Linked DNA regions of Drosophila melanogaster. The protein of the gene in region 1 binds, or shares a complex with, the protein of each later gene. Each region holds a gene or a part of one and is shown in the gene's direction. Other genes may lie near its edges. The genes, in order: IscU, Nfs1, bcn92 and fh.

What was found.
Region 2: IscU (region 1) and Nfs1 share a complex: the UniProt entries of both Drosophila melanogaster proteins name them as parts of the mitochondrial core iron-sulfur cluster (ISC) assembly complex.
Region 3: IscU (region 1) and bcn92 share a complex: the UniProt entries of both Drosophila melanogaster proteins name them as parts of the mitochondrial core iron-sulfur cluster (ISC) assembly complex.
Region 4: IscU (region 1) and fh share a complex: the UniProt entries of both Drosophila melanogaster proteins name them as parts of the mitochondrial core iron-sulfur cluster (ISC) assembly complex.

What each region holds. Positions count from the first base shown.
Region 1 is NT_033777.3:8,819,682-8,827,548, reverse strand, and holds IscU (Iron-sulfur cluster assembly enzyme), read left to right. Parts: upstream 1-3,371; 5' UTR 3,372-3,477; coding exon 3,478-3,564; intron 3,565-3,747; coding exon 3,748-4,125; 3' UTR 4,126-4,288; intron 4,289-4,479; 3' UTR 4,480-4,700; downstream 4,701-7,867. Other genes in the region: CG8379 (uncharacterized protein), read right to left, coding at 452-906, 961-1,916, 2,141-2,597, 2,660-2,861, 2,941-2,994; CG8369 (uncharacterized protein), read right to left, coding at 4,767-4,825, 4,883-5,080, 5,424-5,451. UniProt on the Drosophila melanogaster protein: Scaffold protein for the de novo synthesis of iron-sulfur (Fe-S) clusters within mitochondria, which is required for maturation of both mitochondrial and cytoplasmic [2Fe-2S] and [4Fe-4S] proteins.
Region 2 is NT_033779.5:11,996,216-12,004,219, forward strand, and holds Nfs1 (Nfs1 cysteine desulfurase), read left to right. Parts: upstream 1-3,438; 5' UTR 3,439-3,509; coding exon 3,510-3,639; intron 3,640-3,697; coding exon 3,698-4,956; 3' UTR 4,957-5,029; downstream 5,030-8,004. Other genes in the region: Qtzl (quetzalcoatl), read left to right, coding at 1-28; Ada1-1 (transcriptional adaptor 1-1), read left to right, coding at 689-1,488, 1,553-1,679; Hacd1 (3-hydroxyacyl-CoA dehydratase 1), read right to left, coding at 5,199-5,936. UniProt on the Drosophila melanogaster protein: Catalyzes the removal of elemental sulfur from cysteine to produce alanine. It supplies the inorganic sulfur for iron-sulfur (Fe-S) clusters.
Region 3 is NC_004354.4:2,146,225-2,153,935, reverse strand, and holds bcn92 (bcn92), read left to right. Parts: upstream 1-4,288; 5' UTR 4,289-4,454; coding exon 4,455-4,534; intron 4,535-4,594; coding exon 4,595-4,715; intron 4,716-5,092; coding exon 5,093-5,170; 3' UTR 5,171-5,473; downstream 5,474-7,711. Other genes in the region: wapl (wings apart-like), read left to right, coding at 1-822, 1,177-2,019, 2,090-2,259, 2,325-2,413, 2,474-2,664, 2,784-3,059; Pgd (phosphogluconate dehydrogenase), read right to left, coding at 5,548-6,761. UniProt on the Drosophila melanogaster protein: Stabilizing factor of the core iron-sulfur cluster (ISC) assembly complex that regulates the stability and cysteine desulfurase activity of Nfs1 and participates in the [2Fe-2S] clusters assembly on the scaffolding protein IscU.
Region 4 is NC_004354.4:9,143,294-9,151,014, reverse strand, and holds fh (frataxin), read left to right. Parts: upstream 1-1,943; 5' UTR 1,944-2,002; coding exon 2,003-2,320; intron 2,321-2,389; coding exon 2,390-2,644; 3' UTR 2,645-2,935; downstream 2,936-7,721. Other genes in the region: Bap111 (brahma associated protein 111kD), read right to left, coding at 1-1,592; CG7065 (uncharacterized protein), read right to left, coding at 3,392-5,007, 6,068-7,721. UniProt on the Drosophila melanogaster protein: Promotes the biosynthesis of heme as well as the assembly and repair of iron-sulfur clusters by delivering Fe(2+) to proteins involved in these pathways.

The sequences.
Region 1 (7,867 bases):
TATAACCAGAAAGAAATCATACTTTATAAATATTTATACGCATTTTTGAATTAAAGATTATACACACGTGGAAAGTTTGGGAATAAATAAAAGAGCAACAATAATAATCATATTGCCTAAATCATCTTATATAGGTAAGGAGGTGGACGACATTCCACATAGTGACAAATATCGACATTTAACAGATCGATATTAAAAAACTTGAGTTCTACCCCCATGGTTAAATAAGTCGCCAATGGTTTATGACTTCGTAAGAGGTGATCTGGTTTGATTTTATATACACGTAATATTTATATATTTTGTATACTTGTGTAAAAAACTTGCACAGAATATGTTTTTGCTTTAAGTGCACTGTTTTAGCTATAAAAGTCTCGCAAAGCACTTTAAATCTTATAGATTACATCGAGTTTACGCATCCAGAGATTTGAATATTTAAAATATAATTACAAAACTAAGCAAAAGAAGGCAACGCTTTTGCTTCTGGCACTGCTGTTGCTGAAGCCGGAGTGGCTGTACCGGCCGAAACGGATGTCATAGAGGAACTGAGGAGAATTTCCTGGTCCGGAATAACAGATACTGCCTCCTTCACATAGCCGTAGATGTGCTTGCGCGTATCGTTGACAACATCGCGAACCATCAACTTAAAGAAGTTGGTGTGCAGCGGCGTTTCTGTGTAACGTTCGTATTGGTCCAGGGAGTCCTGCAGTTTGAGCGTTAGGTCGTAGTTCTTGCGCACCACGTCGAGTATCTGCTCCTCCGTGGGCGTAGAGAGGCCTTGTTCGGCCAGCCATTCCTTGATCTTGTTCTGAAAGTGCTTAACAATGGCCAGGATATTTACCAAAGCGTTTAAGAGCTTGATTACATCGTCTTTGTATTCGCAGTCCGGCATCGTTGTATAGCGAAGAACTAATTTGAAAATGATTAATTTTGTTTCTACAGATAGAATCTTAACAACCTTACCCATGGCATGTATTTCCGTAAATACCTTCTCCTCGCGGTTCAGTTCGTAGTAGAGCTCATCATAGCTATTTGTTGTGGCCAGGAAAGTATCACCGTACGTAATAAACAGATTAAATATATTCACCACCTGTAGCGACAGATGAAAAATGTTGCACTTTTTAACCAGCGTCTGTTCTTGGTTGACCAAGAACCGCAGAAGACCAATGAGAGCCGACCAAAGTTCCTTCCACGGATAATTGAGCCGCACTCTACATCTCTTTTGATAGCACAAGATTCGATGGATAACTCCAATGCAGAGCAGATACAGCTCCATCGGGAACTTTTTCATCAAATGCGATACAATGAACTCCACCAGGAGGTCCAGTAGAGTGGCAGCCAAAGGCTGGGACTTGCCCACCCGATCCACATTCAGCTTGCGATGACGCATCTGCGCCCGATGCAGCATGACTTTGAAGGTAAGATTGCTGTCGTGCATCATGGAGTTGGCGTACTGGTCCTCGGAAATGCAGGTGAGGATGAGGAAACACAGCTTCAGATTAGCAATGCTCGATTCGTTCTTATTGTCCTGCATCACGATGGAACAGTACTGAAATACGGCCACCAGCAGATTGGTGGGATACTGCGTAATGTCAATGATGGGTGCATTAGATAGATCCGGCACAGGTTGGGCCAGACTCAATGTGTTACTGGGCGAGGGCGGGGCACTGGACTCTGCCTGCGTGTGAGCCAGAGTTGTGATGAAGTTCCGATTCAGGTGCACTGCCTCGTAGAGGGCAAGTAGAAGGCCATTATTCGCCTTGATCTGCTGCACCCGTTCGCATCCTTCATCCGACACAAACATGTTGCCCACAATATTCGACAGCGACGAAAACCAGGAAGAGGATTGCACATTGTTAAGGCTCTGAATGTACTGGCGACAGAAATCAATTAGCGATTGCGATATCATTTGGCCATAGCTGGAATCAAGATAAAGTTCGGGTTACTATCGAAATAAGATATGCAAGCTCGTGGCAAGTTATCTGTTTGATGACGTCAGTCACCAACTGCTGCCACATAAAAGAACTTTGTGATTCAGTTTAAATATTTGATTACCCTCGATTATAAATTCTTTAAGCCAATTGCTTTCACATAAGTTGCCAGAAATATACATACATACATTACATTGACTAAATGGACTCACCCATTTAAAGCCAGCTCATCAGCGAGTATGGAGAGCTGCACCACATAGGGGTTAGTGGCTTCATGCTTGCGATAGTTGACCAGGATAGTAAGTAGGATAACGATGTCGTGTCCATGCTGGCTACGGAACGTAGGATCACTGAGTAGCCGAACAAAGGCGTCGAACATGCTGTGCATCATTAGATGCTCGAAGAGGGCGTTCTGGTTGACGTTATCCGTGCCCGTAACCAGAACCTGCAGCAGTTTGAGGCACATAAATCGAGCGTTTTCGGGCACATCGCCCAGGAGGATGCGATTGCAGTACTGCATGAGTAGCTTCAGCCATTCGTCCATCTTCTCATGGCCGAAGATCTCGTTTAGGATGTTTAATGTTGGTTCTGCGTTGGACTTCTTAAAGATCCCGTAGAACAGGGAGCACAGCGTGTGTAGGCTGTTGCACAGCCGCTTAGGATGATCTTCTGGGGGAAATCACGGATTATAGGTGGCTGGAGGTATATATTAATAGGTCAAACTGGTCTACCCGTGTCAAGCATTTCGATGCACCTCTGGAAGAGGGTGTTCAGGTTCGGTTTCACCAGCTGCAGCTGCTCGTTGTTGAGTTTGCCAATCTCATTCTCCAGCGCCTCGAAGTTCGGCTGCAGCAGGAAGAACTCGTTCCAAAATTCGGGACTCTCGCTGCTGGGATCCTCGCCCCGGCACAACAGCTCATATATATAGACCACCTGCAATAAATTCCAATTAGTCAAGCAAAGCACAAATCTTCGAGGGCGGAGCTCGTGAAATCCAGTGCTCCGGGCGAACCTTCTCCTTGGGCCGCTTGGTGGAGCCGCTGCCACTGCGCTTGCGAGAGGTCATGACTGGATGTGGATATTATTGACCTAGGGGACTAGTTTCAGAAACTCATAGTCTGCTGCTGTAAAAATATATCGGAAGTTGGCAGAATTTGTGGATGGGCAATAGTAAACTTTGTGATTGGGGAGTGACCATAGGAGTGAGTTTACAAAATACCTGGCAAGCTGCCAACTCAGAGTGTGATTTTAAATGCAAGAGGGTGCTTTATTCAAGCTTTTTTATGGCTCATTATTGATAAAAACAATTTATTACTTATAGTAAATAACTTATTATACTGAACTGTTTTTAAGGAGTAAATAATAATAATATAAGAAATCTTTTAAAAAATCGAAAACATATCGACAACGGCGTTAGCTGGTCTTTCACATCTGCCTTAAAACGGGCACACTGTCCATCAGCTGTTTCTAACACGCAGTTGCCTGTGTTTTTTCGATCTCTTTGAATTTCACAACAATTCTTCATTAAATTGATTTATTTAATTTAAATATGTCCCTGGTGCGAAACTCCTCCCGGTTGCTGCGATCGCAGCTGAAGCGCGTACAAAGTGTCCCGGTGGCATTGTATCATGAAAATGTAAGTTAGAACTCGCAATTGCCGCGCGGAAGGTTCTTTCGTAATATCTAGAAGCTGTATAATATAGATAAGAAACGACTTTGTTGTCGTTCTGAAAGACAGCGTTTCAGGCGGCACGCAAAGTGATAAGCGCGATAGCACAACCCCCTGGTGACTAACACACCTACCTATTTTCACCCACAGGTCGTTGAGCACTACGAAAACCCGCGCAACGTGGGATCTTTGGACAAGAAGGATGTCACTGTGGGCACCGGCTTGGTCGGAGCACCAGCCTGCGGCGATGTGATGAAACTGCAGATCAAGGTGGACGAGAACGGCAAGATAGTGGACGCCAAGTTCAAGACCTTCGGCTGTGGATCGGCCATTGCCAGCAGCTCCCTGGCCACCGAGTGGGTGAAGGGCAAGTCCATCGACGAGGCCGGAAAGCTGAAGAATACGGACATCGCCAAGGAGCTGCGTCTGCCGCCCGTCAAGCTGCATTGCTCCATGCTGGCCGAGGATGCCATCAAGGCGGCCCTGGCTGACTACAAGGTCAAGCAGCAGAAGAAGGTGGCCAACTGAGAGGCGGAACGGAATCTGTGAATGTAGTGGAGCGTTTCTCTGAACAACTACTAAAAAAAAAACAACTATAAGTACTCTACCATACAATACAATACCATATACTATATATTACTTGGCATTAGGTCGTAGTATGCGATTATTGTTCGCTAGAGCTCTGTGAGTGGTGAGTCAAATGGTATGGATACAGTGAATGGTGGTTAAGAGGAACTACATACATATTTTTTAATAATATGTATGACAATGCAAAATAATCCTCGTTTATTGCCTATTGGCTAGTTGCTCTTAACACACTTTTACTGAAATAATAACAATAATAATCATACCAACTGATTAATGCTTTGATTTTGATTGCAGATTGGCCGCGTGACTGCTGATAAGTGCATAGAAGTTTAGGAATCGTCTGTCATTGATACTAAAGGATAGCTGGAACTGATCTTGTATGAATGCATATGCACGTGTGTGTTTTGTAGGGGAATTCTAAGTAGTCCCGAGAGCTAATTAAATTTTCCGTTCTGTTATGCGAAATACAAGCTTGTGTCGAAAACAAATAAAGCGTTCCCGTTGGAATAAAAAATACATGAATATATTATTGCACAATCAGTGAAAGATGTTTAATCGTCAAAAGTGTTGAAATTGGACTTCTAGGACAGGCGAACGCTCACTCCACCGCCGCACTCGCCCTTGGACTTCTGCTCGAATGCTGCAAAAGGATTAAATCATATTTAATTCTGTAAGGATATTGTAGAGGATCTCTTACGATCGTCGGCATGCTGGCAGTTGTAGTTGGCCATGACGCACGGGCTGCCAAAGGTGAGGAGGCGCTCCTTGCTGCTGTTTTTGGCCTTGGCACAAACGGGCTCGTAGACTTCACCGCAGTTGTGCTGGCAACTGTTGGTGGCCGGCTTCTTGGTGTCCTTGGCCGGAGTAGCCAGGACGAATGCCAGCAAGCACAGTGCTAAATAAGTTTGGTCATGTTAAAATTCTTAAGCCCGCTCAATTATGTTTGTTTAAATGAAAACTAGATAAATATGTATTAGTACTTTATTTAATTTAATTGCATCACCGTTCGGAGCAAATTATATTTTTGTAGATCGGAATATAATTCTGTCCGTGAGATCATTCATTTGGGCTTTTGGTCTTAATGGATAGCCAATTATTTTTGCACTTTCCAATCATACAACAAATTGCTTCGTTTGATCCAAAATTGTATTTATAATTTTGTTTATTTTCGATCCCTAAACTAACTATACCCTTTGTATTTTTTATAGATGCTAATGGAAAGAGTTGTTTTTATGTACCTAGAAAAGCAAACAGAGCGAAACGCATTTTGAATAATAATCGAAATTTCCACGAAATCACAACTAGAATAAAAAAGATTTGACTTTCGCAAAAACCGGCTTCGAGTCGCGTTTGAAGTGAACTGAATTTTAGACTGCGAGATTGATCACCTTTATATACAAAGCCGGACTCATGAACAATAGAAAAGCAGCACAGACACAGCCGCAGAATATATGTATAAATGGGCAAACCGGCGACACATATAAGTAAGTGTGATAGGAATCGTATCTCTCACCTCAACCCACACAATCGCGGATCGGTGTGTATTAAAAACAAGCAAGTAAACATAAAGTGCACTTGTTTATATGGGTAACCCAACGGGGGATAACAATGGTGGGTCAACGAGATGATAATGACGATGCTGTCGCAGCAATTTGGATAGATAATGGGTTTGATCAGGCTGGATCTGAGCATGGGCGGGTTTTGAGTGACACGCGTCGCCGGTTGTAAGCGGTTCTCATCATCCTATTTTATTTTATTTATCCTCTTGACGGGGCATCCCACTATACCCCATTGTGTCAGATTTCTTGATGCATTGAATTTGTATAAGGTAATTACTTGTGTTATTCAGCTACTTCGGCTGATTTCAAAAGATATGTGCAACTGATCCTGTTCAATAAAATGTAATATCACATTTATCTTCTCTTTTAAAAAGATTGTGTAACACTAATTTATTTGCCAAAAACACAAAAATAGCAAGGGCGTTGAATTCAATTTGAGCTTCAACCATTAAAATTAAGACAGTAATCCGAATATGGAGAAGATGACATTCTTTAATTGATTCAATTTCGTGTTTAATGGCTTAATTTTTAATTGCAAACGTAATGCTCTCATTTTACGTGCACTTAATCTATTGAATTTACATGCACAATTTTTATTAACTATTCATATAATGATATACAAAAACAACCGCTTATGCGCCAAACTAAAACAAATTGAATATTTATTTACATAAGATAACTATAATCCGGATTTAGGCCGAAATCCATTCCAAAATGCCAGCTGTCGTATTATATTCAATTTCAAATTGCCGCGTACTTTGTTTTCTTATAACGGCAGATGTAACAACTCTAGTAGGTAGGTAGTAATCAAAAACAGGTAGATTTAATTTGTTTTACCAATATTGAACATTTGTTTCACGTGCAAGTCCCGAATCCACAACATTGACTATTTTGAGTAAAAACAATAGGTTGGTCATAAAAAATAATTACTAATTTACTAACCGCGGTCGCCGCATGTCTGAACAGGCCTCCAGCTTTTCCGGCTTGAGTATCCACTGATTCACCCGTGTCTCGAACCCAGAGTTGCCTAAACATATTTCGATGTATACATAAAGAGGGAAATTTATTTTTTAGGCTTGGCAATGCCGCTGCGGGCATATAAAAGTCCGCGCAGTCGTGCGCTTGTGTGAGTCATGGTGGAAAATTCGAGGCAAGCGTACCGATGCGCAAAGAACAAGCATAAGCGAAGAAGATAAAGATATCGATTAAAATTTCTGCTACAAAAATAAATATATATGTAACGCATATTGTAAATGTTCTAAGTTAAGTGACATAAATCAAATATTTGTGTAAAGTTTAATATTTTAATACGCGTCGAAGTACAACGAGTGAGGCTACAGAAGAGCACACACTAAAGTGGAGTACTTGGCGAGCGCAAATAACGGAAATCAAATTCGAAATAAACGCTGCGCAATAGACGGTGGTGTACATAAGAGTTTAACAAAATCCGAATCAGAATCAGTTGAAAGTGTGATTTTTTTGAGCCTTTGTCTGTAAGTGAAGAGAAAGCTTTAAGCGGAATTACATCTATATATATATATATAAATATATAAATACGAAGCCAGCCCGTCGCCATTTTGAAAGTGATTTTACAAAACACACACACACACATATATATACACAGCTGCGAACACATCCACATATAACCCCAAATAAAATCCGAAGAAAAGAGCAAAAAAAAAAACGCAAAACAAACCAATTTCCGCAACATTTTAAAGTGAAACATCCAAATCAAGGCAACTTTTAACCCAAACTCAACCCATTTTGTATATAACGCTTGTCGAAATATCGAAATCTGTATAACGAAGTGGCTGAGAAAACTGCGACACACACACGCACGCAAGCACACTCGTTGGTGTGAGGTCTACGGCAAAAAAGTAAGTCGCAATTGTGTTAGTAATCGCTGCGTGTGTATGTATGCGCGTGTGTGTGTTGATTCATTAATTCAGGTATTCTCGCAAAATAAATGTACATATGTATCTTTATATATACATGTGGGGTCGTCCCTCTGACGTCCCAAGTTTGCTTGAATAGCCAAACAAACACCTTTTGTTGACGTAAATAGCACACACAGTCTACACACAGTCACACGCTAAAACGATAATGCAGCCGTTACGTAGTTA
Region 2 (8,004 bases), on another chromosome or scaffold:
CATTTGTCTGGGAATTGGACTGCAATGATCCCAATTTAACAAAGTGTAGCCAGCTGGTTCATCCCAAAAGCAACTCCACCATCCGACAGACTTCCTTCTCCAAAGACGGTTCCATTTTAGTTTGCGTGTGCGACGACAGCACCGTGTGGCGATGGGATCGCGTCAATTAGGATGAGTGTTTCTAGGCTAAAAGAATTTTCCTTATCCTTCTAAATCCGATACCATATTTATGTAACCATAGTTATTTTCAGTGTAATGTTTACCTTCAATATTAAGTATGTTCTTATGCGTAGCATTTATATACAATACTCATTGTATTGACAATTTATGTTAAATTATGTTAAATTTTTTAACATTAACCAAGATATTTATTCTATTCTATTACTTTTTTAATGATCAAATAGCTTCGCAAATATTATCATCTTATGTTGTGTGAATGGCGTGGGCTCTATCTTTAATGTTTATATTTTAACTAACTAACTTGTACACAATAAAAACTGTGAACACTAAAGATTAAAACCAATATTTTTTTAAAGGGTTCTTCAAAAATAACGGTTTTTATCTCAAATGTATCTGGTATTTTCAGCCGTTCTTTGAACGGTCACTCGAATCAGCTGCATTCATTTGTTTATATAGCAATTCGCAAACAGTTGGATTTTCCTGTTTAGTTGTTATTCCCAATACTAAAATGCTTACCGACAGAGTTCTGGCCACCAAGGAGGCGCTAGTGGTGGCTCTGGGCGACAACTGGGAGCGTTACCGGGCCAACATGAAGAATTGGTTTCGGAGCCGTTGGACTAAGGAGGAATTCGATGCGGAGTCGCGGAAAATCCTAACACCTGACAAACTGCACCTGCACAATCAGTTCCTGCTCGCCCTGCTCAACAAGATCGACGCCTTTGCTCCCCTGGAGAATCCTCCGGCCGTCCAGACCAGCAGCAGTAGTGGCAACCGAAGCAAACGGCGCAAAAGAAGTTGCCGCACCTTCGCCGAACGCCTTAATTTTGAGCTCAGCGACGTCCTGGACTTTGTAGCCGAGGACAACATGCAAATCATTCGTCCGCCAACCACGATCGGTATTCCGTCGGACCAGCAACAGCAACAGCTTCAGTCGCAGCGGTACTGCGCGCAGGAACTTTTCCTGCCCGACGCGGGATTCATTATGGGACGATTTCTGATCGGTGCCTGGGAAATCGGACTTGTCTCCGTGGACGACAATGTCGCCGAGTACGTTGCCATGGCCGTGCAAGTTCTGCTCAAGGATCTACTATCGGCAATCATCAAGAAACGAAAGCACTACAAGACCAGCGGCGAGGGAAACTTTTACTACGATGTAGGTGCTCCGTTGCGTGATCCTTCGCTGCGCAACACCGTCACCCGGCAGAAGGTCGACGACACGCCGCTGGAACTGGACAAGGAACTGAATACGGCCAACTTTATGCGGCGACAGAACGACGATGTGACCTTCCTCTCCGCCTGCGAAGAAGTGTAAGCTCCTGAATAATAATGAGATTTTCATGTGAAACACAAACTTAGGTTTTGTTTCTTTCAGCCAACCCACCGAACGCACAGTAATCACCCTCAAGGACTGCCAACTGGCCTTACGGGATCGCAACCTGATAGGCTCGCATGCCGTCTACTCCATAAACATGGAACGACTCAATATGATGATGCATTAGCTTATAAGTTCTAATTATTTTATTATATCAGCTTCTGTAAAAATATATACATTATACGCTAGTGTACCATTAAGTGTTTGGTTCAGCAAAGATTCCGTGGAGGCGGTTTGAATGGCAAGGCACCTGGTAGAAATTGATCCGCCTTGAATGCTTCGATTTCCTGCTCGTTGAGATCCTCCATGCGACTGTAAACTGAGGACTGGATTTCGTTGGTCGGTTGAGCTTGCTGCTGCTGCTGCTGCTGCATCATTTGCTGTTGCTGTTGCATTTGAAATTGTTGTTGCTGCTGCATTTGTTGCTATTGCATCTGCTGCTGCTGATGCATTTGTTGCTGTTGCATCTGTTGCTGCTGCTGCATCTGTTGCTGCTGCTGCATCTGTTGTTGATTAGGGAATGCAGATGCTGCTGCTTGAGCAAATAATCCGGAGGCAGCTGCCTGCTGCTGCTGTTGTAGTTGCTGAGAAGCCTGAGTAAACATTCCGCCCATATTTTGGCTTGCGGCTTGGCCAAAGATTCCCGTCGACTGCGGTTGCTGCTGCTGCTGTTGGAAACCACCGAAAGGATTAGGATTCACTGGCTGAGCTTGCACCTGAACCTGCGCCTGGGCGAAAATGTTGCCCCCTTGGAAAGCTTGTGCAGCAGGCTGCAGCTGTTGCTGCTGTGGCTGTCCAAAGACACTTTGTGCACCTGTTGCCGCAGCTCCTACACCAAAAATGCTATTCCTTGCATTGGCATTGCTAATCGTTCCGCCGAAAATGCTATTGGTGTTGCTGGCTTGGCTTGTGGCATTCCCAAATATATTTCCCGCACTCAGCGTGGGCTTTCCAAAAATGGATGCAGATGTATTGGCGGCAGCCGGAGCTGCTGCAGCGAAGGGATTACTGGACTGCTGAGGGGCAGCCGACACAGTGCCGCCCTCCGGCGTCTCGTGGATCTTGATCATCATTTCCAGGACCTGCGGCGACATCTGAAGCATGGTCTTCATCTTGTTGTTAGCCTCTAGGACCTCACGGTTAAACTGTTGGCTGAACTGTTCGAATTGGTTTTGTCGTTTGGCCTCGTAACACATGAACCGCACCTCCTCGAAGGATTGGTCCTGAATAAAGTTGGGGAAATTCGCTTTGTCCTTAAAGGGTCCGTAGGCGGACAAAGGCCACATCTTGCCATTGAGGCTGGATTCCATGTCGGCTTTGAGATATTGCCTAAAATAATTAAGTTATTAGTTCATCTGCATAGTTTTAATATCAATGTACTCACTTAACATCGAAATGCTCGTTGTTGCACTTTGCGCCATAGCGGCAGGAGCCTTGTTGAAAGAACCGGCAGACAACCATATTTAAATTTGATTTTAATTTTTGCCTATTTCCTATATTTATTATTTCAAAACTGCTTCAACTTTTGTACTTTTGTTTATAATTGTCTTACTTTGCGTATTGAGTATTCTTTGAGTATTTTATGGCTCACTGAGAAAAATATACCGTGCCTATGCGCGCAATTTCGTGAATTCGTAACTTAAGTTCGCTGAATGATTAAGATAATTTTGTAAGCAAACATATTTAAGATGAAAACTGGTTTTTGAAAATATAGTTCCTTGTAAATTATACATTAAGTGCGAATATATCTGAAAAATATTGGTTTCTTGCACAGATGCTATTCATTTTTCATATGTTCAAAGAAATTCAGAAACTTGCTTCTGCATAATCGAATCAGATAATTTTAAAGTGAATTCCGGAGTCCTTTGGTATATCTCGTGCCGCCGAATACGGTCCCACTGATTGTGAAATCCGTGATAACGAATTTTAACACCAGAATTTCTAGGATTCCATCAGAATGCAAAAAGTGCTGGGACGCATCCAGGCGCAGGTCCTCCGCTCCCGGGCGACGAATGCATTAGCCAATGTGGTTAGACACGAGGCCACCTCCTCCAGGACAGCGGCTAAACCAGCCGCCACATCCAAAGGTAAGCGGATCCTCCAAGATGCACAGTTACCGCTTACCAAAATCGTATTCGTTCGTAGAATTCCGGGAGAGACAGGTGCGATTCAACATAAAGAACGAACAGACCGAGGGTAGACCACTTTACCTGGATGCCCAGGCCACCACTCCAATGGACCCACGTGTATTGGACGCTATGCTCCCCTATCTGACCAATTTCTACGGAAATCCCCACTCCCGTACCCACGCCTACGGTTGGGAAACAGAGTCCGCTGTAGAAAAGGCCCGCGAGCAGGTGGCCACCCTGATTGGCGCCGATCCCAAGGAGATCATCTTCACATCCGGCGCCACCGAGTCGAATAATATCGCAGTAAAGGGTGTTGCCCGTTTCTACGGCACTAAGAAGCGACACGTGATCACCACCCAGACGGAGCACAAGTGCGTGCTGGACTCTTGTCGTGCTTTAGAGAACGAGGGCTTTAAAGTCACGTACCTGCCAGTGCTGGCCAACGGACTCATCGACCTCCAGCAACTGGAGGAAACCATCACATCGGAGACCTCGCTGGTGTCCATTATGACGGTGAATAACGAAATCGGCGTACGGCAACCCGTCGATGAGATTGGCAAACTGTGCCGGTCTCGCCGAGTATTCTTTCACACGGATGCCGCTCAGGCGGTGGGAAAGGTCCCGCTGGACGTTAACGCCATGAACATTGACCTGATGTCTATATCCGGCCACAAAATCTACGGCCCAAAGGGTGTAGGCGCCCTGTATGTCCGACGAAGGCCGAGGGTTCGCCTCGAGCCCATCCAAAGTGGCGGCGGCCAGGAGCGTGGCCTAAGGAGCGGAACGGTTCCAGCCCCGCTCGCCGTGGGATTGGGAGCTGCTGCGGAACTTTCTTTGCGTGAGATGGACTACGACAAGAAATGGGTGGACTTTCTATCCAATCGCCTGCTGGACAGGATTTCAAGTGCCTTGCCGCATGTCATCAGGAATGGTGATGCCAAAGCCACATACAATGGTTGCCTGAATTTGTCGTTTGCCTATGTCGAGGGCGAGTCACTACTGATGGCTCTTAAGGACGTGGCCCTGAGCAGTGGGTCCGCCTGCACCTCCGCCTCCCTGGAGCCCTCCTATGTTCTGCGTGCCATCGGCACCGACGAGGATCTTGCCCACAGCTCCATACGCTTTGGCATCGGGCGCTTTACCACCGTCGAGGAGGTGGACTACACCGCCGATAAGTGCATCAAGCATGTGGAGCGACTGCGCGAGATGTCGCCGCTGTGGGAGATGGTCCAAGAGGGCATCGACCTAAAGACCATCCAATGGTCGCAGCATTAATGTACTAATATTTAAGCCGTTACTGTTACACCACACTTTGAAAGCGAAGGGAAAATAAATTTGTTGGAAGAGTATCTAGGTTTATTTGTACACAAAACCACTTATAACTAAGCTTAGTCCGAACGAATGTGCTTGTGTAAGAGGTGAGGCAAGAGAGACCCCAAAAAGCGAAAACGGCTCAAAGTGCGACGGCCAATGATATGCAAATGATGCAATAATTTGCATTCGCCGCTGGTCAAGGTTCAGTTGGCCTTCTTCTGGGGTGAGCCGCTGGATCCACCGCCCAGGATCTTACGGCGCTGGGCGAACATGTGCAAGTACAACTGCGGGAAGATGGGGATGTAGCCGAGCATGACGATCCACAGGAATCCAAAATACGAGAAGGTGGCGTTCCACTTGTTGGGCATCACCACACTCCACACGCTGTTCTCACGGGCATAGCTCTGGGCCCACCAGAAGCACAGCAGCTCCCCAGTCACGCCGATGGGATACAGGACAATGAATGTGGTGTAGCGCAGGAACACCACAAAATGCGGCACCACCTTGACGATGTTCAGAGCGTAATATCCATATCGGATGATCTCAGTGATGGCCCAGGCCAGCAGGGCGATGGGCAGACCGGGTGAAACCTTTCCAGTAGGCGTGGCCATCACCACGCCGACGACCACCATCATGCGGCTGAACACCTGGAAGCCAGTGACCACCGGGTTCGACTTGACCAATCCAAAAGAAGCATTGAGTATCTCCACGAACGCGGCATTCTGGAAGATGATCACGGCCAGCCGAGTATACTCCCACAACGTCACCTGGGCACGGAACTCCGGACCCTGCAATATGTAGTAGTTGACCAGCTGCCACAGGATGTAGCTCCATCCGACCACCTGGCCGGCGTTGTACGCAAACAGGTACAATTTAGTGACCGCCGACGGCTCCTTGGAAGCGCCTGGTTTGCTGGACTTGGACACTGCCTTTGCTGACATGTTGGAGCGGAGATGTGTGAACTTTCACCTTGCCGATCGCCGCTGGTTAACTAATCAGTCGTCACAGTCTTATCGCCCTGTAGCGCGATAATTCCGAAGTCGCTTTCACCTGATTGGGTCAGTATGACCGCACGGCGACCACACAAAAAATACCAAAAAAAAGGGCTAAGAAATATATATAACTATTAAATACCCTTCCATATAATATCTTTTATAAATAAAAACGCTTTGATATCGAAAATTGTTCATTTAATCATTTGTAAATTAATAATCATTTAATTAAAATTTCTTGATATAAAATTTCATTCGCCTTTATTTTCTCTGAATTTTGTTTTTTGCTATTCACAATTTTTCCAACGAGTATAAATAAAAGATGAACTTCATTCTTTCAAAGTCAACGGGTACAAAGTGCATAGCCTTATAACCTTTCCTCTATTCACAGATCGCAAATCTAAGTTAACAATGCCACAACCATTAGGCATGCTTAGCAATTAAGTCGTTTTTATGTGCAAAGTTATTTCACTTAAGTTAAGTTAAGTCTCAAAACGTTAAAATTCTTTGAAAACTATGATTTTAAATCCTATCAACTTACTTTAAAGCTGAATTACCGTTTCTTATGTTAGTACAAATTAAAGTAAATAAACTAAATAATAACACAATTTATATTTCTTCGAAAATATTCTTAGTATCATTAGTAAAACTATAATAATTTTTAATTATAGTAAAAATTAATACCTATCATATATATTCTTTCTTTAATGTATAGTAAAGCATGGTTAAGAACAATGGATAATGGGTGGTTATGAGCCGACATATAAAAATTTATCGCTAACGACAAGGTGGAGAAATCAATTTTTTTGATAAGAACTAGCCCATTGTACGCTTTGCATTTCTAACCACATTTCGCTTAAAGCAGCCCACTGTAGGCGGCAGCTGACGTTTCCCAGCGAACGACGGCTGGTTTGCGCGATGAGCCAGCAAGGCAGCTAAACTTTCTGGTCGCCTGGTGGAAACCGAACCGAAAACCGAACGTGTCTGAAAAAGTCCGCCACCACCACGGACCGGTGCACGTCCCCACCTGCCAAGTCGCGTGTGTGTGGTGTTGCCTGTGGACCGACCCCAGCTCTCCATTAATGGGCAGCCGGAGCGAATCGCTTGTCGCCGTTGTCGAAATTCGCAGCTCGTTCGCAATCGGAATTGGAACTTTTGTTCCGAAAGCAAAAGGCCGCTAGGCCGGACGGCACAACACGGCACGTGCTGCTGCACACGATTTGTTTTATGTGGGCGGAGGCCCGCAACCACGCCTACCCTGTGAATTAATTTGCTGCTGCTTCTGCTGCTGCTGGTGCTGCCCATTTAACGCAAATTACTAACTACTCCCCTAAAAAAGCCGACGCCTTATCAGCAGCAGCAATAGCCAGCATGCCCGCCCGCCTGGCTTATCAGCAGCGGCGATTGCTATACGGGACTCGTTCCGTACGACGGGCGGAGCGGCAATTCACCCAGAGCAGCGCCCACAAAGGCCGATTGGACAAAATTGGAAAAACGAGAACCCCGCCAAAAGTGAATTCCCTCTTTTTCACCAGGCGCCCAGAGCGGGCAGACCAACGAAATGCCGTCAAATGCCAGCAAAACGGCATTCGGCAGAGTGCGAGCGAGACGACGCTAGTGTCGCAATGGCAGGGGTTTTCAATGTGACTGGTCGCCGGTGTGTGCGTGTGTGTGTGTGTGCCGGCAATGAAATTGCCAAAGCTGACAAATTGCGGCAGTTTAAGGCAAAAGCTAGTGATAATCGAAACTCTTTAAGCCGAGCTAACAAATTCATCGCTCTCTTTCGCTCCAAAGTGCACGTTTACACATTCTTGTTTAAAGCGAAGGGCAATCAAAACAAATTGACTGGTTCGGCGAGCGGCTAACAGAGGGCGCCACCTTGATGGTGAGGGGTTCCATACATATGAATATGTATGTAAAAACCCAGGGCGAAAAAGTCATGAAAACCCATTGCCTCTATACACGCCCACAAATGCGAGCCCTGCGCGCCCCTCTTGCCATCTCGTTCTCGTTTCCA
Region 3 (7,711 bases), on another chromosome or scaffold:
GGAGGAGCAGCAGCGGCGGCGCCACCTGAGTCCTCTGGCGAACAGCGGGGCGCTGTCAAGCTGGTCATCTCAAAGAAGAAAGGCAGCATCTTCAAAAGCCGCGCTCTGGTGCCATCCGATCAAGCGGAACAGGCTACAGTGGCCAAGCGACATCTGTACAAGCACAGTTGGGATGCTGCGCTAGAAGCGAATGGCGGTGGAACCAACAGCGATGCCAGCAATGCCTCGGCATCTGGCGTGGGCGTCGCTGGGGCGAAGGATCATCTGCATCATTTAGCGGCGGGCAAGTCCGATGGTGATTTCGGTGACAGTCCGTCGTCGAACAACAATGGCTCCTCCAGTGCGTGCAGCAGCGCATCCACGTTGCGCGGCGATAGCCCGGCCCTCGGAAAGATCTCGCGACTGGCGGGAAAACAGGGAGTACCTGCCACCTCCACTAGTTCCGATGCCTTTGACCTGGATTTGGAACCAATTGCCGGAGAGCTTGACCTAGAGCGTAGTGCAGCTGGTGCTTCCGCTGGTGGAACAGGGGCAACGACAGGCGGAGGTGGAGCGACGGGCGGTGGCGGCCCCGTTCGGGTCGACCGCAAAACTAAGGACTACTATCCAGTGGTGCGTAACGTTAAGACGGCCCATCAAATTCAGGAGATCGGCGAGTACCAGGAAATGGACGACGACGTCGAGTACATCCTGGACGCACTTCAGCCGCACAATCCCCCGGCAACACGGTGTCTCTCCGCCCTTCAGCTAGCCGCCAAGTGTATGATGCCCGCCTTCCGGATGCACGTGCGTGCCCATGGGGTGGTCACCAAATTTTTCAAGGTAAGTTAGATCCCCAATTCTTACATATATTGAGCTCCAAACCGCCTTTGGGCGCTTGGTATTTGCATAGTTTGATTATGCAATTGAATCTTATCAAATTCAAAATATCAGCTTTCGGCAAAGCTGTCCCCAGAATAGCCAGTTTGTTTTGAAAGCTGTGTTGTTATTTTGTTATTCTGTATTAAAAGCCTGTATAAACTATTAAACCATTGCAGTTGTACTTTAATCAACTTGGTAATGTTTTCCACTTTAAATCAGTACAGTTTATTGATTATTTGCAAAGTGAATAACAAAAAAAAAAGTTTTAGGAAAAGTATCAACCTCTTTGTTAATTAACTGACTATTTAACTGTAGGCATTATCCGACGCCAACAAGGACCTCAGCCTAGGCCTGTGCACCTCGGCCATCATGTACATTCTTTCCCAGGAGGGCCTCAACATGGACCTGGATCGCGACTCCTTGGAGCTGATGATCAACCTTCTGGAGGCGGACGGCGTGGGTGGCAGCACGGAGACTGGGCACCCGGATAGAGCGGGCTACGACCGCAACAAGCAGAAGGTGCGCGAGTTGTGCGAGGAGATCAAGGCGCAGGGCAAGGGAACGCATCTCAACGTTGATTCTCTGACTGTGGGCACGCTGGCAATGGAAACGCTGCTATCGCTAACATCCAAGCGCGCGGGCGAGTGGTTTAAAGAGGATCTGCGCAAGCTGGGTGGCCTGGAGCACATTATCAAGACCATCTCGGACTTCTGCAGACCGGTGATTGCCTGCGACACGGAGATTGACTGGCAGCCGACGCTGCTGGATAACATGCAAACGGTGGCGCGTTGTCTGCGAGTCCTCGAAAACGTGACGCAGCACAATGAGACGAACCAGCGCTACATGCTCACCTCTGGCCAGGGAAAAGCAGTGGAGACGCTTTGCCAACTGTACCGTCTTTGCAGCCGACAAATAATGCTGCATCCTTCGGATGGTGGTGGCAGCAACAAGGAGCATCCGGGTGTGGCTATGCGCGAGCTGCTGGTGCCGGTGCTCAAGGTACTGATCAACCTGACGCACACGTTCAACGAGGCGCAGCCATCGTTGGGAGCCGAGCTGCTAGGTCAAAGGGGCGATGTGGTGGAGACGAGCTTCCGATTGCTGCTGCTCTCGGCCAACTACATTCCCGACCAATGTGTCTTTGAGCTAAGCATACTGGTGAGTGTGAGATTTATATCTTTTCGCTTCACAAGTAACCAATTTCAAACACTGATTCCCACCTCTCCAGGTTCTTACACTGCTAATCAATTTGTGCATGCATACTGTGCCCAACCGGGCTGCTCTAATGCAAGCTGCCGCTCCGGCAGAGTACGTAGCGGATAATCCACCAGCGCAGGGATCTGTGAGTGCACTGCAAGCTCTGCTTGAGTACTTCTACAAGTGCGAGGAGCTGGCTAGGTAGGACACATTAACAATTCTAGTCACATTGTCGCATTGCTTTATATTATGTTTCACGCCCGCAGATTGGTGGAAAAGAACACGGACGCCTTCCTCGAGAGCAACGAGAAGGGAAAGAAGAAACAAGAAGAAGTGGAGGAGACAGTCAACAATCGTGAGTATTTAGCGGTTTGATGATCTGTGACCTATGCTAATTGCCGGGCGGTTTTGACAGTTGTGCAACGAGCCGGCCACCACATGGAGCACACGCTAAAGGGAAGTTATGCGGCCATCCTGGTGGGAAATCTGATAGCGGACAACGAGTTGTACGAGTCGGTGGTGCGCCGCCAGCTGCGAGGAAATAGCTTTAAGGAGATTATTGGAGTGCTGGAGAAGTACCACACATTCATGAACCTTACATCCAGCGTGAGTCTCATAATATGTCATACATTTTCAGTTCAGATCGATAGCTTAATCCATCTTACCCTTAATCCATCAAACTGCACAACCTTCTAACTCGTTAACGTTCTCCACCATTTGTATAGTTGGAGGCAGCCTTTGTGGCGCATATGAAGTCCACGAAGCGCATCATCGACAACTTTAAGAAGCGCGACTACATCTACGAGCACTCGGATGAGCACGACAACCCCCTGCCTCTGAATCTGGAAACGACGGCGCAAGTCTTGGCCGTGGGAGCGGACGCGTCGCATGCTGCTACAAGCTCGACCACGGTCGGCTCTGGCTCCGCACCCTCATCCACATCGGCCACAGGAACGACGAGGGCGCCGCGGGTCTATAAAACGTACAGCAGCCACAGGTAATCGGACCTGGGATCTGAATCGGAATCGAAGAGCCATCGCAATTGTCGTTAACCACACCGAAAGCCTGCCACCAAAATAAAATTCTGTTGTTTGTGATTATGTAATTTGTTTATGTGTTGATATAACAATCACTACATGTATGTGTATAGCCTGTAATGCACCTAGTTTCAGTCAGCTATATATATATAGATATATATATATATAGAAGTATATAGCTAAGAGCGATAGGATACAATGCGATCTGTTTTTGCGTTTGTATTAACCCAAAGTGATAGCGAATTCCTGAGCATGGTCTGCGTTTTAACTAAAGAAAATGATTAAGATTGACGAAACGAAAGCGACACCCCGAACAACACAAAGATCCAAATCCCCACTAATATGAGTACGTTATATAGTCATAAGCAATATTAGCAGCTAAATGTCGGCTTACCCTCGAAAGCACACACCCATGTAAATATTCTTTAATCAGCGATTTTATCGGACGCGTCTTAGGTTTATTTCGAATGTGTTTTTTTTTTACCTATTCATACTTTATATATTAAACCTTTTTTTTATTGATTGTAAAACAAGCGCTCTTAGCAAAAACGCTGCAGCAGAAAGAGCGAGAGCGATAGACATGTGTAAAGAGAGAGTTAGAGAGGAAAATTCTAGATTAGATGTGGGAAATAAAGTTATTTTATTGCCTAAACGTAAGCTAAAGAAACTCTACTTATAAAACTAACACTGATAAATAAATATATATATGTATATGGATATATGTGTACGTTTACAACCACTAAAAATGTCATTTTTAGGCTACAAAAGTCAGATTTAAAAAGCAAGCGCGCGTGCAAGAAAGAAACAATTTCGGGAACAAAATATATATATTTATTTTGTGTTTTCAACGAGTACATAATATATTGTTCTTGCGGAAAAAACAAACAGAATTAAAACTAAAATTGAAAAAATGCGGCAGTTGTCTTATTTTGTATAATGGGAGCAGGTTAATTTGGTTTTTATTTTAATATTTACCTCTAAATATTTCGGATTCTTAATAAATTATTTTTCTGCACTATGAACTCAATTTATTTCTTACTTTTTGCAATAATATTTAGTATCACAAAAATAGTTTTTTTATTCAGTTGCGATGATTTCCGCACGACGCAGTGTCATCTCTAAGACTCACGCACGTGACACCACAGTGAATGCAGTCAGCTGTTTCTGGTATTTTGCAGCGGAAAAGTCAGTATTTTCCGGCTTTCCGCATGTAATTTTTATGTCATCAGGCGGTCAATTGGCAGTTGCCGCACCGAAACAAGAAACCAGGGTCAAAACAAAGCACTCATCAATTAAACAGCACTTTAATCCACCAGCCCGCCCGCCATTCAGTTCCATTCGGCCAGGATCAAGACCAGGATGTCGACCCGTCGCCAGGCGATCACGTTATACAGGAATCTCCTGCGCGAATCGGAGAAGCTGCCCTCGTACAACTTCAGGTAGGTGTTGTGAAATTGAAAGGCCGCCGCGAGTGATGAGCAATCTATTCCGGATTTCAGAATGTACGCTGCCCGAAAAATACGCGACACATTCCGCGCCAACAGGAGCACCAGGGACTTCGCGGAGATCGATCGCCAAATGGCCGAGGGCCAACAGAATCTGGAGCTGATACGTCGCCAGGTGAGTGGTTCGTCGGATTTCACCCCTCTCCCTTATCAGCAATGCTTGAAAGTATCCAGATAACGTAAGGCATTCCGTCTTCGAGATCACAGCGCATCCAAAAAGAGCCGTCGTTTATTTACCAAGTTGTTAGGAACTCAAATAATTAGTGGTATAAAAATACTACTATCAACTACTACTTCCCTTATCAAAGACAATCAATTTAAAGATTAAAAATATTAATGTATATTTAAAGTAGATTTTATCATATATATCTGATTTTGCAAATATGGGGAATGGAAAACTCAATTACCATCCTATTAGAAATCGAAAGTAACCATTTTGCCCCTTTTTCGCTTATCAGCCGGTTGAGTTTATTAACCTTTGAATGTCCACAGGTAATCATCGGCCACCTGTATTCCGCTGACAAACTGGTTATAGAGAACAAGAAGACCCTGAAGCCCTCGGACGACTAAGGGAAATACGGAGCGAAAAACGCGCTAGCTGAAGAGAGTACAATAGCAGGGAAGGAGCGGTAGAAGGAGCAGGAGGCGTCTCCAGATGAAGACACAACTCGAAAGACTCGACCCACACACAACACAACACACCAAACCACACGCATTGTTGATTTTAAATGGCACTTGCATTCATGAAACTAAGGAATCAAAATCATTTGCTAGCAAAAAAACACCAATTTAATGTTATGTTTAACAACAATTATGAAATTCTATATACATACATATATATTAATGGTATAAATAAGTACTAAAGTACTCCAGAAAAAAAAGAAACATCTAAGACACCGGCGCCAATGACATGGAATGTGTGAACGGGAAAGTGGAGCAGGTGGAACCTACGCCTGGTAGGTGCTGGCGGACACATTGCCGCCGGTGCCTGTCCAGTTCGTGTGGTGGAACTGACCCTCCTGGCCCAGCAGCTCATAGGTGTGGGCGCCGAAGTAATCCCTCTGGGCCTGCAGCAAGTTGGCTGGCAGCTTGGCCGTGCGGTAGCCGTCGTAGAAGCTTAGGGCGGTAGACAGGGCCGGCACGGGAATGCCCCAGCGGAAGGCATTGGCCACCACCTCGCGCCACGAGTCCTGGCCGCGCTCGATGGCCTTCTTGAAGAAGTCGTCCAGCAGCAGATTAGACAGCTCCGGCTGCGACGTATACGCGTCCTTAATGTTGCCCAGAAAGACGCTGCGGATGATGCAGCCGCCGCGCCACATCAGCGCAATGCCGCCGTAATTAAGTCTCCACTTGTTCTCCCTGGCCGCCTCTCGCATGAGCATGAATCCCTGGGCGTAGGACACGATCTTGGCGCAGTAGAGAGCGTGCTTGATGTCGTCGAGGAACTTGGTGAGGTTGGCCACTTGCGCCTTGGTCGAGGGTCCCTTCAGCACGCTGCTGGCCTGGACGCGCTCGTCCTTCAGGGCAGACAGGCATCGCGAGAAGACCGCCTCGCCAATTAGCGTCACAGGCACTCCATACTGCAGAGCAGCGATTGCCGTCCACTTGCCCGTGCCCTTCTGGCCGGCGGTATCGCGAATCCGCTCCAGCAGATAACCTTTGCCGTCCTTGTACTTAAGAATATCACGCGTGATTTCAATGAGGAAGGAGTCCAGTTCGGCCGAGTTCCACTTGCCGAACTCGTCTGCCATCTGGTCAGCCGACAGTCCCAGGCTCTGCATGATGTGGTACGCCTCGCAGATCAGCTGCATGTCACCGTATTCGATGCCGTTGTGCACCATCTTGACGAAGTGACCGGCGCCTCCATCGCCCACCCACTCGCAGCAGGGTTCACCGTCGGCCTTGGCGCAGATCGCCTGGAAGATGGGTTGGATAAGGGGCCACGCGGCCTCGTGTCCGCCGGGCATCAGCGAGGGTCCGTGGCGGGCGCCCTCCTCGCCACCGCTCACGCCGGATCCGACGAAGAGCAGGCCAAGTTTGGCTAACTCGTCGCAGCGGCGAGATGTGTCCTGATACTCCGAGTTGCCACCATCGATGATCACATCGCCGGCGGAAAGCAGCGGCACCAGCTGCTGGATGAAGTCGTCGACTGCACTTCCAGCTGAAATTGTATCGAGATTACATCTGATTAGCGTAAAGTCGATTAAAGCAGATCGAATTCCTCATCGGGGTTCTCAAAAGCTCAACTATCGTAGACTCATTTTCCAAAGCGTTCTTAGCTAGCGCCAGTTCTTTTAACGTAAAGAAATCTTCGATTTAGCCAGAAAGTAGAGCGTGCGATTGGACAAGGTCGGTTGGTTGCTTTTGGAAAGTCACTGTTTTGGAGGTCACCCTGGTGGCGAGGCGTCCCTAGCGCCGGGTGAGCAGTTCTCCAGCGCAGTGGACCCAGATAAGGCCAACGAGTCGTGGCGATACTACCATTGATCTATCTATCTAGCGGTCGTTGGTGGTGGTTTGTGGGGCACACTAGCGGTCAAGATTGTTGGACTCGCTCTGTTCAATGACCAACTAGCTTTTTGTGTCGTCATCCTTGATAACTTAACTACACTGATAATCAATAACCTTTGTCCTTACTCCCACCCACCCTGTGAATGTGGGATTCGCACAACCTGTCACGCAACTTTCAAATCTACATATGTTCAGCACAAAAACCTCCAGAGCTATGTACATATGTTATTGACCCGCACTGTATTCTTCTAAGGAGCAGTCTCCAGACGAAATGACTCACTGGCCTGGCAACTCGCAGAAGAGGAATATGTAGGTTTTTCGGCTGGTCAAATCCGAGTAAATCCACCTGAAAATCGCCCATTTTGTGTGACCTATTATGAATGTCAAAGATTTCTCTCTGCGCCGCGTTGTTGTTGCTTTCGCACGAACAGATAAGCCGGGCACGCCGATCTAGAGGTGAGCAGAGTTTCGGACACGCGAGAGTGGTAGACGAACGCGTGAGTGACCTGGAAATCACCTGATGGGTTCGCTCGATGGTTTAGGTAAGTGGAGGCAGCTTACCACAACTATGTGATTAGACAAAACTCACGCCACACTTGTGGT
Region 4 (7,721 bases), on another chromosome or scaffold:
CCGGGCGGTGGAGCTGGCCCGCCCTGTTGCTGCGGCAGTGGCACCTGTTGTGGCACCGGCGGTGGCGTTGGTGTCGTCGTCGTTGTTGTGGTCGCTGCAGTAGCTGCTCCGGCCGCTGGAGCCACCTCAGGCGGCGGTGTGGGTGTCGGCACCGGTGTGGGCACCTTGCCGGGCTGGGCCACCACTTTGGCGGGTTCCGTTTTGGGTGGCTCGACTAGCGTTGACTGCGGAGGCAGGGCAGCGGCCATCTCCAGCTTCTCTGGCTTGATGGGTGGCGGCGGAACCGATGGCTTCGGCGGTGGCTCAATGTCCATGGGCTCGGGATCCGTTTTGCTGGCAGTTTCGTGCACGTGCACCGCTGGCGCCGGCGTAGGCGTTGAACTCGGTGTGGGATTGAGTGTAGCGGGCTTCACAGCCGGCGGTGTCTCCTTGGGCGGAGCTGCTGGCGCTGGTACCGCCGACGCCGGCTCTTGGCCAGCGGGTGTGGCAGCGGGCTGACCTGGCTGCGTTGGCGGCTTCACTGCCTCCTCGCTCCTCGTCACTGGAGCGGCGGCAGCTGTAGCGGCAGCTGCAGCAGGATTCGCTGCGCTATTCGCATTCGCATTCGGTTCATCCAATCGCTGGCGATCGCGCTTGATGTCCTCGTACATGCGAAGCACCATCTTCTGGAAAGTTTCCTCGTCGACCGCCGGCTTGCAGTGGCGCTTTAGCTCCTCCTGGAAGGCTTCGCTGGACTCCACCATGCGCTGCTTCTTGGCCTCGAACTTCTCCTCCATCTGCTGCAGTTCCGCCTCAAGTTTGGTCTGGTGCATCGTCAACGAGCTGACCTGCCGCTTGAGCACCTGCATCCGCGTGGTGGTCACCACTGAACGCACATCTGGTACAACGGCCTCCGAGAATATCTCGTTAATCAGGCGATGGTTGTGCAGATAGCGGGCGTAGGCCAAGTGCTTGGTCGTATACCCTTCGTCCTGGTCATCCTCGTCCTCCGCCGGCTGAATGTCGATGCGTCGCTCATGCTGCGACTTACTGCCGCCACCGCGTGACGGTGTCTCATGCATATCCACGTCGGTCTTCACCTTGCTCTTGGCCGACATGTAGGCCTGATAGGCGGGCGTCTGGTGGTAGGCCTTTAGCGATTTCTCGTACTCCAGCTTCTCCGCCTCGTATTCGTCAATGAACTCCGTCTTCTCATCCTCGGGCAGCAACTTCCACATGGCACCGATCTTCTTACCCAGCTCCCACAGCTTCAGCTCTGGATGCTTCGCCTTGACGCTATCCCAGACGCGTTTCGAATACCGCATGTAGGGCAAAATGGGCTTCTCCGGCGGCTTTGGTGGCTTGGGTAGCCTTGATTCGTTCTGGTTCTTGCTGCTCGACGACTTGGTTACCTTCTGTGGCGTGAATGCCGGATTCCCATAGTTGCTGTGCGTGAAGATGGGCGTCTGATCCTTGTTGCGATCGCCACCACCTCCGCCGCCGGATGAACGCGACCGGCTGCCGCCGCCGGAGCCACCGCCGCCGCCCTGGAGTGGTGTGGCCGATCCCTGGCCGCCAACGGCTATCTGCTTGTAGTTGCTTGGCAGGGCCATCTTTGTGCAATTCGCTGGTCAAATTTGTATGGATTTTCCAAGAGAAATAACAATTTTCAGACAGACGCCATTTTCTGTCGGCGTTGGTGGAGGTGTGGCCGTATCTGATTCTAAGAAAAATCATATAAGCCGGGAATTGGTATATATAGCGGAATATATATGATAAGGAAATAGTAACTGCTAGAGAATATACAAAATTTTAGTTACCTAAAACTAGCAGAACACTTTAGCTGAATTGCTGCTACTAATAAAAAAAATCTGTAACTTCTCATTTTTATTCAGCTTTATAGAAATCAAAAATTATACCACACTAGAATCTAGAAAATACCAACGGCAAATCATTTTCCATTAAGTTGGCAGCCCCGCAACTGGGATTTGTAAAATATAAACAAATCGTAAACAACTAAAAAATGTTTGCCGGTCGTTTGATGGTCCGTTCGATCGTTGGTCGGGCATGCTTGGCCACCATGGGCAGGTGGTCAAAGCCCCAAGCACACGCCAGCCAAGTGATCCTGCCCAGCACACCAGCGATAGCCGCAGTTGCTATTCAATGCGAGGAATTCACTGCCAACCGGCGATTGTTTAGCAGTCAAATTGAGACGGAATCCACATTGGACGGCGCCACCTACGAGCGTGTGTGCTCCGACACCCTGGACGCACTGTGCGACTACTTCGAGGAGCTGACGGAGAACGCCTCCGAGCTGCAGGGCACGGATGTGGCTTACAGCGTAGGTGACATTCGGCTATTACATCATTCCATTGACCTGCTAATCCTCGCGGGGTTTCCGCTTCCACAGGATGGCGTGCTAACCGTGAACCTGGGAGGACAACACGGCACCTATGTGATCAACCGGCAGACGCCCAACAAGCAGATCTGGCTCAGTTCGCCCACCAGCGGTCCCAAGCGATACGATTTCGTCGGCACTGTGGCGGCGGGCAGATGGATCTACAAGCACAGTGGTCAGTCGCTGCACGAACTGTTGCAGCAGGAGATACCCGGCATACTGAAGTCACAGTCCGTGGACTTCCTACGCCTGCCCTACTGTAGTTAATTCCGTGATTAGTTTAAATTCTCCTCCATAAAAAGTCGGTTGAAACGTTCGATTTTGATATATTTATTGTTCTTCATCTGTTGGCACAGTGGTCACTCGATATACATGGAACTGCTGCTGCTGCGGATGAGCAAAGGTATATACTTATACTTCCCTGGAGCTGTGAAGCTTAGCTTCTGGTATAAATGCTTTGCATTCGCTTATTCATTTATGTACGATTAGTTTTGGTTTCGAAGTTTAAATTTGTTGTTTTTGAGAGGAATAAACTTAAAAATCAGTTGTTTAATGTATAAATCAAATAATAATAATCAAATCACCATTGAAGAACATCATATGTAGCTATACATATTTTATTTTATTTTATTATTTGTCACTTGTACGTTCCATTTCGTTTATTTTTATTTCAATACACAGAATTCAGAACTCAAAGCTCCCCCAGCTAATAATTCCAAACGAAAGTCGATTAAAGTTGATTTCCGGAATTATTGTGTATGTTTATTCACGTGCTCTTCAGATTTATGTTTTCTGAATTCTATTGTTGTTCGGTGTTTTATAAACAAATGAAGGTAGTGATTATTTTCTTTTCTTTTTTTTGGCAGCAGCACACATGTATGGTAAAAAAAAAAATAATAAAAATCACTTGCCAGCTAGCAGATACACGGGCACTTCAAAGGGCGTTATTCTCGTTTCTACATTACGTTTAAATTGCATAACGTTAATAGTATGGATATCTAAGTCTACGACACTCTAGTGACGTCCACCGAACATGTTGTTAAAGTGCGGCTGCTGCTGCTGCTGCTGCTGCTGGGCACCCATAAAGTTCTGGGGCATCTGGTTGAAGGGCGGCTGTGGCGGCACATTGCTGGCCCACGGATTAGGGGGCGGACCCACGTAGCCACCTGGACCTGGTGGCACCATGCCGCCGTAGTTCTGCTGCACGCCATTGCCCGCAAACGGATGATAGCCGCCGTAGCCCTGCTGATTTGGATAGTGATTGGCATTCGGTCCGCCGCTCAAGCCGCTCATCAGTGGCTGTGCCTCCTGGCCAAAGTTGCGGCCATGCTGCTGCTGCTGCTGCTGCTGCTGCTGTTGCCCTGGATAGCCCGCATTGGAATAGCCCGCTCCGGGCTGCTTTTGGCCAAGATTTTGGCCTGGATTCTGACCCAAATTCGGTGCATTCTGCGCATTTGGCGCTCCATGCTGCTGGTTCATCATATAGTTGCGATTGCCACCCACGGGTGAACCTCCAGAAGTGCCATTCTTGCTTAAAGTGCCCATTAGATTGGCTATGATGTTCTCGGTGTCTTTTAGCGAAATCTTGGTCGCTGCTGCTGGCTTGAAAGTGAGCGCATTTGGCGATGATTCAACGCCTATAATGGGCGGCACTCCTGGCTTATTGTGTACACCAGCACCAACGACACCACCACCACCACCAGCACTAGCACTTCCATTCGAATCGCAGGCCTTCATCACCAAATCATCAAAGTTGTAATCATCATCTTCCTCGTCATCGTCATCGAGCATGATACTGGGCGTGTTCCGGCCGCGTCTCTGCTTATTGATGGGCATACTGGACATATCACGATCCAAATTGGGGCGCTGAGCGCTCAGCATGGAGTGACCCACTTTCGGAGCCGTGGCACTGGCGGAGCTGGCGGCCATGGCGGAGGAGGTTCTACCACCCATAACCGAAGCCTTGAACTTGGTAGCCGGTTTCGCCTTGCTAGCCCCACCAATTTTCACCACGCGCGCCAGGAAATCACTGCAGGACTCGCCATCGCCTCGGAGCTCCACCAGATTCACATACTTGCGCAGACGATCGACGCGCGACGGATCCTGTACCTCCAACTTGCGCAGATGGCCAATGAGATGAACCTGCTCCTCGTTCGACAAAAACTTAAAGTTCTGGAGTAGGGTCTGGAGATCTGAATCTGTTAGCGATTCCAAGCCAGTGCTGCCACCGACTGTATCGGCGGCTTGTACCTTGGCCGGTGCTCCCGTAGGTTTATTCACAATATCGACGGACTCCTTGTGCAGCTGATGCTCCACCTCCTTCATCAGCTCGTCCAGATCGATGCCCATGTCATCGGGCGACGGATTATTTTGCAGTCCGAGCTTTACCTTTATCTCCTCGAATTTCAGGCCGTTGTTGTTGTCCAGCTGGCGCCGCTGTTTGTCCGTCTTCATCAGCAGCGTTAGCATGTGTAGCAAGTTGTTCATATCGCCGGTGGACACATTATTGTAGCCGTTGAGTACCAAAGCATTGGCCAATTTGGGCGCCACCAAATTGCGATCGAAGGGCAGCTGTATGGGCGCCGGATTGGCATTTGCCTTAACCTTGACATCGACGGCATCGTTGGTACCTAGAGATCATCCGGTTACGGGTGGTTTGGGGAGGGAACAACACAAAGAAATCAATCAGTTAGGATTAACAGGTGAGAGTGTGTTTCTGTTTCAGATCCCGGCAGATGGAGGATCGTTATCGCACGAAGCTACGCAAATTACATTTATACTTATGGATGGTGTGGATGGCGATTGGACAGCTCACGGTTGGTTTCTTTACACTTGATTCACACACCCAGCAAAAATAAGGGAAAGCTTACCGAAAAACGATTAGGAACGATATCACCAGCGATTCGACCAAAGAGTCTATCCAAATATACGATATAATTACTATATTATCATAAATACAACATAGAAGGAAGACCTTATGACCATTTATGTTTCTCATTGCAAGCAGGTCTTTTTAATATCAATTTAACCCTTTTTGAACCCAAAGTAAAGGTCTTAAAAATAGGTTTCTTAAATTCGAAAAATCCTACGAATTGCAGAGACAAGACCAGCAATTCAGAACACGCTTTATATATATATATGTATACTTATAATATTGTTTAAAATGGTAATAAAACACAGCGCTATTTTGTATTATTTCAAAAATACTCGCTCAGAAGATTTCGTTTATGTTTTAGTGAGAAAGAAGAAATGTGAAATGAGATTGTGATCCCAATTCATACAACAGCCAAAGTCAAAGATTCTTTATTTCATAAGGTGCTAAACTTAAAACGTAACTAAATGTTTAACCGCAGAGTTTAGTAGACTAAAGTGGGGAGTATCTAATGTACATATGTATATATTTCTTTATCACCAGCACATAAAAAAGGTTCCTTTCGAAAAAGGAGAATAGAAATATTTCGAATGAAGAATCTAAAGGTATTCCACCGAATGGCACAAAACTCACAATAAACTCTGCAACTTTGCATAAAAAGCCGTTGAAAACGCGCGAAAAACGAACGATTGTTCCGATGGGTAACCCTTTTTTTGATTTGATTTGTTTGGTTTACTTACCTCCTGATTTCTAACCGCGACCGCGAAAAAGAGCGAGAGAGACGGATACGGATTGAGCGGGTTTGGTGGTGGACTTACCTTTGAAGGTCGCCTGATAGATGATTTCGGCTATGTTCGTGATTAGTTTCTTGATCACGCGCACCTTTTGCGGATCGTCCAGTACCTCGGCAATGAGAATGCCCTTAAGCTTCTCCTTTGTGGTCTCGAGGAACACACAGTTGTCTTCGTTTCGCAGCAAATCTTCAGCTGCATTTGGCTTTACCAACTCCATGGCCAGTGCCTTGCTAAGCAAATTGAGCGCCTTGGGTCCCAGGCTGCCCAGATGCTCCTCGACGGCGGACAGCATGCGCAAGACACTAACGACAGTCAGTGGTCCCTCCTCAATGGGCTCCGATGCCTCCTTCTCCTTCTCCTTGTTGGACGAAGCGGTGGGCGAAATCGAGCTCGTCTTGGTCACTTTGTACTCGGGATATACGCGGGAATCCAGCACGCGGAACGTCTCCACAGACTCATAGCCGCGCGATGATCGAGCATAGCCCTCGTTGCGGTGATAGTACTCGGAAGAGCGTTCGCGCTCACGCTGCAAACTGTGACGACCACCGAAATCCCTGGACGACGAGCCGCGCTCTTTGGATGCTGGTTCACGACCACGACCGCGGCCACGATAGTGGGCCGGCGAGCGAGACCGGTGTCGCATGCTGCGCGAACGCGAGCGCGTAGATCCTCGATTATAGCTGCGACGCGGCGAACGACTGCGTGAGCGACGCACGGCACGACGTCCGCCGCGCTTGGGGGACAACGAACGAGAGATGGAGCGGCGTTTGTGGGAGTGACGACTACGAGATGGAGGACTATCAACATCATCATCGCTGATATCGATGACGGCGTCGGGTAGTTTGCTTGTCGCAACAATCGGACGATTGTTGCGAAAATTCGGCTTCGTTTTGCGACAATTGTCGGAATTGGTGGTGGCAGGCGCTCTACGCGGACTGGCCACACGGATCTTGTAGCGCTCCATTAGCTCCAAGGTCTTCTCTTCGTCCTCGTCGCCCAGCTTGAACTTCTCTTTGAGATCTTTCTTTATTTTATTCACCGCAATGTCGAACAGTACGATGCGACGATCTTTCCAGTAGCTAATCCACTCCGGCTTATAGTCGTATTGATTCGGATCGCATTTCTTCTCCTCCTGCAGCTGCTTGTAGCGTCGATTCCAGAACTGTTTCCACTCATCCGGATAATCGGGATGTTTCTCGGGATTTGATTCGTACATCTCTGTATCACTGCGCAGCTGCTTGAGCTGTATTTCCAGCATGCAACGGAACTTCTCCCACTTGTAGCGCTCCTGGGAAATTTTAGATGCCTGAATGGCCAGCTCCTTGGGCGTGGGCAAATGCTGCGTTTTGTTCACGCCACCTGCAGGTGGTGGCGATTGATTTTTACTACGCCCGCCGGCATCTTCCGACAGATTATTCTTCTGTCGCCCCTTTGGCACCGGGACAACCGAAGCTGTTGAACCGCCAAAGCTCTCATCATCACTGGATATGGCATCCAAGGCAATTATATTTCCATCATCATGCTGCTTGTTGCTATCCCCGGTTCCGTCGACGTTCTTCTTCATGCTGCTCTTGATGGACTCATCCGGTTTGAGTTCGCGGATCACGCGCTGAGCTTCTTCGGAAAAATCTGATCCGGCACACTCATCGAAATGAAAGCTATCCCGCACCTGACTGCA